Saccharomyces cerevisiae S288C: one gene and its partner. Changing the gene in region 2 together with the main gene of any one other region gives a genetic interaction. Each region holds a gene or a part of one and is shown on either strand. Other genes may lie near its edges. The genes, in order: MIF2 and CEP3.

Evidence for each region.
Region 1: of CEP3 (region 2) and MIF2, changing one enhances a phenotype caused by changing the other (phenotypic enhancement), as found in Saccharomyces cerevisiae (2 studies listed by BioGRID, with this or other methods).

The regions. Positions count from the first base shown.
Region 1 is NC_001143.9:271,629-275,871, reverse strand, and holds MIF2 (Mif2p), read right to left. Parts: upstream 2,479-4,243; coding exon 829-2,478; downstream 1-828. Other genes in the region: phosphopantothenoylcysteine decarboxylase complex subunit CAB3, read right to left, coding at 1-589; CUE2 (Cue2p), read right to left, coding at 2,663-3,994. UniProt on the Saccharomyces cerevisiae protein: Component of the kinetochore, a multiprotein complex that assembles on centromeric DNA and attaches chromosomes to spindle microtubules, mediating chromosome segregation and sister chromatid segregation during meiosis and mitosis.
Region 2 is NC_001145.3:596,832-601,182, forward strand, and holds CEP3 (Cep3p), read right to left. Parts: upstream 2,328-4,351; coding exon 501-2,327; downstream 1-500. Other genes in the region: mismatch repair ATPase MLH1, read left to right, coding at 1-364; aldehyde dehydrogenase (NAD(+)) ALD3, read right to left, coding at 2,521-4,041. UniProt on the Saccharomyces cerevisiae protein: Acts as a component of the centromere DNA-binding protein complex CBF3, which is essential for chromosome segregation and movement of centromeres along microtubules. CBF3 is required for the recruitment of other kinetochore complexes to CEN DNA.

The DNA of each region.
Region 1 (4,243 bases), on a different chromosome or scaffold from region 2:
GCTGTCTTTCAGTTTGCTTTTTTTGCACTTGCTCCTGAATTTGCTTCACCTCTTCTTGCTGTTTTGCTCGTTGATTTTGCTCCTGCAGTTGTGCCTTTTGCTGCTCTTCTTGTTGTTGATTTTGCTGCAGTTGTTCCTGCTGCTGCTGCTGCTTTCCAGGTTTATTGGATATCGAATATCTATGATACGGCAACCTTTCCACCTCGGGCACCGTAAATGAAACAGCAGAAGGTAATGAAGGTGAAAACCTTTTTTGCTGGCCATTTGTATTAGCTGGCATACTGGTGTTGATCTGTATTTCATGGCCATCTTTGTTCCTTTCACTATTTTGCTTCAGATTGGCAAAAGAGAAATCCCTCAAATTTGTGCTATAATCGTTTTTGTAAATATTCCTCCTATTAGAGTTGGATTTTGATTGATCTTCATGACTATCAGATCTTTCGAAATTTGATTCATCGTGAATACTTTTTCTTCTCTCCTTGTTGGTCAAAATTGAAACCGGCACTTGTGTTGTAGGCAAGGATGAAATTAAGTTAACTCCCTGCTTACCGTTCATATTCTGATCTGAGTTCACTTTTTCATCCGTCATCACACCTAATAACTCTTTGCTGGTCCTTTAGACTTTTATTTAAATATGCTAACTAAGTGTTACTTTACTGTTCTTTCTCTTTTTCTGCTTTTTGTTCTCTCATCTACGAAAGTTCGGTGCGAAATTTTACGTGATTCATTTTCTTACAGAAAAGTTCACATGTTTAACAGTATAAGCGTATGGACCTAGTTATATTTCTTCAGTACATAGCATGCATAATGAGAATATTCACATCATAATTACCCAAAAGTGTCAAACGTACTGTCTAATTCTTTGTCGTTGTCATCGTTAGCGTCTTCTGAAACGGTCACTTGAACGAAGAACATTTTGGCTTCATCATTCCCTCTATTGGCAATCGCGTACTCGTTGAATGCCGGTATTTGGAAAGTGGAACCTTTAACGCTCAAGAACTTGTTCTTACATACAGTTACTTCGACTATTCCCTGTATCACGTGGAACGTAATATATGTCCTAAATGAGTTGCTTAATTTCTTTTGTCCAGAAATAGCTGGTAGTTTTAATATGCCGCTAGCAAAATATTCTTTATGCTTATCGAACATTATCTCAAGGGCAAAATTCTCGTCCTTCGTGTCTTTTACTTGTTCAGTTTGCGACAAATTGGGCGCGAATGCAATAATTTCATCCTTAGTTTCCTCCTTAGTGTCGCTAATTTTCACATTAGCTTCCAGTATTCCATGTTTCAGCCACTCGCCATTTTCTATGCCTCCAGATTCTATCCTTTCTATAATATCCTCGTTGGGATCTTCTGGAATCAAATTTTCCTTTGCATTTGGATCCTTCTTTGGCCTTCCTCTTGGTCTCCCCGTAGGTACGTAGTTGTAAGGTCTGGTTGGTGTAGGTTTTTTTTTTTGTTTCTTCCTTCTTTGTGCTGCCAATATCTCCTCTTCGTCTTCAGATTCATCATATGTGACAATTTTGTCTATGTCAAGAACGGGTTTATTGGACTTCCTCTTATATACTATTTTTTCGTTCCTCCAATACTGCAAAGGCGCCACCTTGACTCTTGTAGATTTCCGAAGCCCGTTTCTATCAATTATTGAATCTGTACGAACCACATCACTCGCTTGTCGTCTTATATAATCATCTTCATTGTCATTTGTGTTCACCTCAGCCTCCTCTTCTACTTCTTGATAGGTGTTATCTCCATCTGAATCACTGGCTGAATCCGAGCCTGAATCCAAAGATGAGTCACTTTCAATGTAATCACCGTCCTCTTCACTTTCAGGTATAAACCCGTCATCTTCTAATTCGTCTTCTAATAATGCGTTATCAGATGTGTTTAAAGAAGTGTTTACTCTATCATCGTCATCCTCATCAGCAACCAAATCAGGTACATCTGAATAAACATTCTTATTAGTGATTCTATCAGGTGTCAACCTTACAGAAGGGCTTTCTGAAGTGTCAAGGCTATACCGAGTGGAGTACTTTCTTTTATATGTAGGTTTACTCAATTTCTGTGTGATTGGTGTGGCAAAATCATTGCCTCTGATATCATTTTCTTCTTGTTCTGGTTCTTCCTCAATAGGCTCGAAATCATTGGCTGGACTCAGGAAGTTTGATTGATGGCTTAACAAAGATGATCGTCTTGATCCATCGCCTTTCCCAGATGGGCTTTGGACAACTTCATCATCTTGAGATTTATATGACTGTAGAAATGGCGGTAATACGTTCTTAGTATCGCCATTTAACGTTGATGGTAAGAAAAGCGATGATTTTCTTCTGCTTTTCCTTCTCATACTGATAAGACTAGTTTCATCATCTTTGAAAAAATCATCAATATTTTCCATGCTGTATTCATCTTTGGGTATATCTTGCTTAACATCAATACCAGTTTTACGGGACTTAAGCCCCAATTTCATATAATCCATGAGTGAAGTGCTGTCCTGTGCTAATGTCTAACTTATTTGTTTAACGTATGTATTTTTCTAACATTCATTTATTTACATCACCATTTCTAACGCGTTATATTATTTTTCTCGAAATTGAGAAAAAACCCAATGCAGTTTAAAGAAGCCTAGCGTTTATAACCTTTATAGAAAAATCAGATAGGTTTTATTTCTTCTTCTTACCCTCAATTCTGAAGTAGGAAGATTCTTCCCAAAATATGTAGTGATTTTTTTCAAGAAAACTTTTAACCTGCAGTCGAACCTTTGAGATCCCGCCGATGCTGTGGATACCTCTACCAGTTACCACGATTAACGGGCTTACAAACTGTACTTTTGAGCCATATGAGTTTATGTTGTGGGAGTTCAACTCTCGTTCTGCTACCTCTTTGGACCACCACTTATTTAATGCAAGTTTCAGTGTTGAAACCGCTTCACTGGGAAGAAAACCATGGAAATCCAATCTGTATGTTTGAAACAGGTTATTTATAACCGGCACAGCTCCCTCGGGGGTTTCTTTGTCATGAAGGGGCAATTTATAAGTATTTCCTACCTCATTTCTGCGGGAAATCTGCGGTGTTGAAAATTTGGGTAAATGTTGCTTACAATTATCTCTGGATGTCAAGGTAAAACCTTCGTCAAAGTTCCAAGTTTTCGTAATATTCTTGTCATCTTCGATCAATAAGGACGATATGTTCAACACCTTTACAACATCTCCATCATAAAATTGCAGGCATTTTTGCAAAAATTCATGGTTTATGGCTTTGAGATCGCGATTATCTGCAACTAATTCATTTAACTCAACCATCTGCGGACTATCCAAGGAGTGCTTATAACTCCTTGGCCTTTTGAGACTCTCTTGAGCAACATTTGCGGATTCTTTACCCTTTTTCAAAACGTGGGCAAGCCCCGTCGATGATTGAACTCGACCACCTCTCACAGTCGTATTAGGACTCCGTTTTACTTTGAAAGTATCCACATCTTTTTTAAAATCCCTTTTGTCGTAATAATCCAAAATGATTTTGATGATCGCCTTTACTGTATCAAAACCATTTTCGGCTAAGTATTCCTGCGCAATATTTTTGGGAGCGTCGGTAAACTTTATTATACTCTCTATGTGATCGTTTGTTGATTCCCAATTATTTTTCTTTTCGTTCCTTTTTACGCTATCAGGAGAATTTGCTTGATTGTCTTTAAGTTTTTGCAGGGTTTCATAATTCAGAAGATCAGAAATAGTCGATTCTACGGACTTCTCATTTATTACAAACTGATCTTTTATAACGCTGCAATCAAGCTGAGGAAACATGTCGTACAGTTGATGTAATTCATTATCAACTGTAGACTTATCGTCGTTTTCTTTTAACAGCAAGCCTATCGTTAAATCCAAATCATTATTGTTTTCAAGTAAATGTACTTGTAATTTGGATTTGGAAATAGCTGGAAACATGTCCATCAAGATTGACAATTTAGATTCATGGTCATCATTGTTATCCATACTCATTGCATGATCTTATATGCACGATAAATGAGGTGTCATAATTGCTTTATATTGATATACTGAAGGCGAATATCGCTGTTGAAATTTGAATTTTTTCGCATTTTTTTTTTTAACAGTGAATATCTTGGTGATAGAGGCAATTTCCAAACTGTGAAAGCAATATATCCTGATACATAATTCAGTACGTATGTTTGTTGATTTATATTTCATACGTATTCCTCTACGGTTTCAAACGTCTCCCCTGAGGCTTGT
Region 2 (4,351 bases):
AAAATCTCTACCACTACTTTTAAAAGGCTACATTCCATCTCTGGTCAAGTTACCATTTTTTATATATCGCCTGGGTAAAGAAGTTGATTGGGAGGATGAACAAGAGTGTCTAGATGGTATTTTAAGAGAGATTGCATTACTCTATATACCTGATATGGTTCCGAAAGTCGATACATCTGATGCATCGTTGTCAGAAGACGAAAAAGCCCAGTTTATAAATAGAAAGGAACACATATCCTCATTACTAGAACACGTTCTCTTCCCTTGTATCAAACGAAGGTTCCTGGCCCCTAGACACATTCTCAAGGATGTCGTGGAAATAGCCAACCTTCCAGATCTATACAAAGTTTTTGAGAGGTGTTAACTTTAAAACGTTTTGGCTGTAATACCAAAGTTTTTTGTTTATTTCCTGAGTGTGATTGTGTTTCATTTGAAAGTGTATGCCCTTTCCTTTAACGATTCATCCGCGAGATTTCAAAGGATATGAAATATGGTTGCAGTTAGGAAAGTATGTCAGAAATGTTATATTCGGATTGAAACTCTTCTACAATAGTTCTGAAGTCACTTGGTTCCGTATTGTTTTCGTCCTCTTCCTCAAGCAACGATTCTTGTCTAAGCTTATTCAACGGTACCAAAGACCCGAGTCCTTTTATGAGAGAAAACATTTCATCATTTTTCAACTCAATTATCTTAATATCATTTTGTAGTATTTTGAAAACAGGATGGTAAAACGAATCACCTGAATCTAGAAGCTGTACCTTGTCCCATAAAAGTTTTAATTTACTGAGCCTTTCGGTCAAGTAAACTAGTTTATCTAGTTTTGAACCGAATATTGTGGGCAGATTTGCAGTAAGTTCAGTTAGATCTACTAAAAGTTGTTTGACAGCAGCCGATTCCACAAAAATTTGGTAAAAGGAGATGAAAGAGACCACGCGCGTAATGGTTTGCATCACCATCGGATGTCTGTTGAAAAACTCACTTTTTGCATGGAAGTTATTAACAATAAGACTAATGATTACCTTAGAATAATGTATAACCTTTAGTAGTGAATCTGCGGTATCATAATAAATGAGATACATCTTAAACAATTTCCAGGAAACAGTAGATATTTGAAAAAGTGCAATAAATTTTTGAAATCTGCTGTTATTTGATCTAAAATCTTCTTCCAACGAATCTACTTTGTATTGAAAAATATCGAGCTCCCTCCTTATAGCATCCAATGTTTTTAAGGGAGGTTTAGAACTCTTGTTCAAGTATTGATCTAAATCTCTGTCTAATGAGATGATTTTCCAATACAAGACCTCTGTGCTGTTTTCTTCCCTGTAAACATCAACGTTAGGCAAATCCTGCAAATATGCTGCATGTTGTAATAGGGAGGATACTTCTGTATGAAGTGCAATTGGTTTGCGTGGCCCCGATTGAAGATAATCGCATCCACACAGGCGATAGAATATTCTTCCCAAGGTTACTTTAGCGATGCTTTCAACGGGGTCATCATTAAGTAAAGGTCTAAAGTCATCCACATGAAAATTTTTAAAGGTATGGATGCACTGTGTTAGGAGCGAATTTGCCAACAACGGTTCATCGTAGGGGAAAGTTGTAGTGGCTAAAATCAGATATGCTTGAACGAGCCTTATATCGGGATGCGCCATGAAATCACATTGTTTCAATTGGAATAATGAGCAGCGTGCAAAATTTTGGCACATGACTAATTGCATACCATCTTCCCAATTGAGCCTTTTGTTGCTACCCAAATATTCATGGAGAGGATATACTGAAAATATTTCTGCTAACTTCTCGACTGGCATATAATAAATGCACATGGTAAAGACAGACCATATTAGTGCGTCCCAGTATTTGCCGTCTACACTGTGATTCTTGTCTGCCCTTCTATCCCAGTACTGTTCCACCCTCAAATATAATTCACTGATATCTCCAATGGAACCAAAATACAAAGCACCTAAGTTTTCCATAGCAAAGTTCATCAATTGGAATGATTGGTCTTTTTGAAGATAATTCATCCAAAACATACATTCTTCAGTATCAGTATCCAAATTAGCTGGTGTTCTAGTAAGATCTCTTTGTTTTGTTTTGTACAGCCCAATATTCGTTATCCAATATTCATAATTTTGCCAGAATAACAATAGGTCAGGGAGATATTCCTTGGAAGATGAAGCCGTTATTAGTTTTGTTGATTTCATACATTCGGAGTCCTGTCCTCTCTTCCTGCAGTTTCCACACGGTATCATACGATCACATTTGACTTTTCGCCTCGTACACACGGAACAGGGATGCTTGGATTTCAGTTGAGTGGTACGGTTAAACATTATTATTAGGATGCAAACTCGTGTTCGTAACTTTTGTCATCACCTGCTCTCTGAAGGTTGGTTATAATATTTCATTCTCTTACGCTTAGCTTACATGGCTGCGCGCACTTCATTTAAAGCCGTAAAAAATAAAGATTTCATAGAATATGAAGCTTTGAATCTCATGTAAACATTTATATAACTATGTAACGAATTATTTATCCAATGAAAGATCCACATGGACTGATTTTATTTGTAAATAGTTATCAACGCCGGTGTCGCCTGATTCTCTACCAATACCACTCATCTTAAATCCGCCAAAAGGAACTTTAGCTTCTTCTTGATTGGTTTGATTGATCCAAACAGTTCCTGCTTTAATATCGCGAGCAAACATGTGCGCTTTCTTGACATCTTTGGTGAAGACCGCAGAGGCGAGCCCGTAGCAAGTATCATTAGCCAGCTTCAGAGCGTCATCATAATTTGTGAACTTGCTAACAACCACAACCGGGCCAAATATTTCATCACGCAGCAACTTAGATGTTTCTGGTACATCAGTGAAGATGGTTGGGGGAATGAAGTAGCCTTTAGCTCCACCAATAGGAAATTCAGAGGTCTGGAACATGTCCAACTTTTCCTCCTTTTTACCACGTTCTATGTAACTTTTGATGCGGTCATACTGTGTACTTGATATAACTGGACCAACGATGCATTTCTCATCAAACGGATCAAATTTTCCTGCAACATCCCACTCCTTCTTTGCAGTTTCTTTAAACTTTTCAACAAACTTGTCGTAGATCGAACTTTGAACATAAACTCTTGAGTTTGCAGTGCAGATCTGTCCCGAATTAAAAAAAATACCATTTGCTACCCATTCTATAGCCTTATCAAGGTCTGCATCTTCAAATACAAGAGCAGGAGACTTACCACCGCATTCTAGTGTGATATCCTTAAGGTTCGATTGGCCGGAAGCTTCCAATACTGAGCCGCCAACCTTAGTACTTCCCGTAAAAGATATTTTGTCGATATCCATGTGGGTTCCTAAAGCTTTCCCCACAACGGAACCATAACCAGGAATGACATTGACAACACCAGGTGGAAAACCTGCTTTTTTAATTAAAGTAGCAAAATAAAGTAGAGATAGAGAGGTATTTTCAGCAGGTTTGATGATAACCGTGTTACCGGCCGCTAAGGCACCTTGCATTTTTCTACAAGCCATAGCTAGAGGATAATTCCATGGAACGATTTGAGCAACAACGCCAAAAGGAACTTTTAGAGTATATGCAAACTTGTTAAAAGTCAATGGAATGGTTTCACCCATATTGAACTTGTCGACCGCCCCCGCATAGTATCTTGTAAGTTCTATAATCTGGGCTAAGTCTTGTTTAGCATTGGAATGGAAAGGCTTACCAGCGTCTAAAGTCTCTAATGCGGCAAGTGTGTCTTGCTCCTCCTCAATAAGTTTTAATAAGTTTGAAAGATAAATACCACGTTGCTCAGAAGATGTCTTCGACCAAACGTTATCAAAAGCAGCCCTGGCAGCTTTCACAGCTTTGTCTACATCCTTTTCGTTAGCTGCTTGGAAGGATGTTATCGGTTCGCCAGTAGCTGGGTTCACAGTTTCGATGGTCTTTCCATCTGATGATGGACAAAACTCATTGTTGATAAACAACCCTAGCGGTTGCTTTAAAGAGATTTTCAATTGTGGGATTTCGATATCAGTATACAAGGTAGGCATTTTTCTTTTGGCTAATTTTCTAAATGTGTATAATCTATATCTCTATGATACAAGTCCAAGGTATAATTACCTGGCATGAGTCAAATTTATTCCCATCCAGATTTGCCATTTTATACAATTAGTTTCTGAGGTATGATCAGTTAAATCTACGCTATTCGTTTGAACAATCTCCCTGTCTCCTCCCTAAACTTACTAATTCCTTAACCCTTAGGGAGTTTAGCAATCAGCTTAAGAAGGGGGCTGATCAACAATCCGGTTCAAGTCTTGGATTAGCAGTAATGAAAATCCCTAAATGCACTAAAGGGCGTGG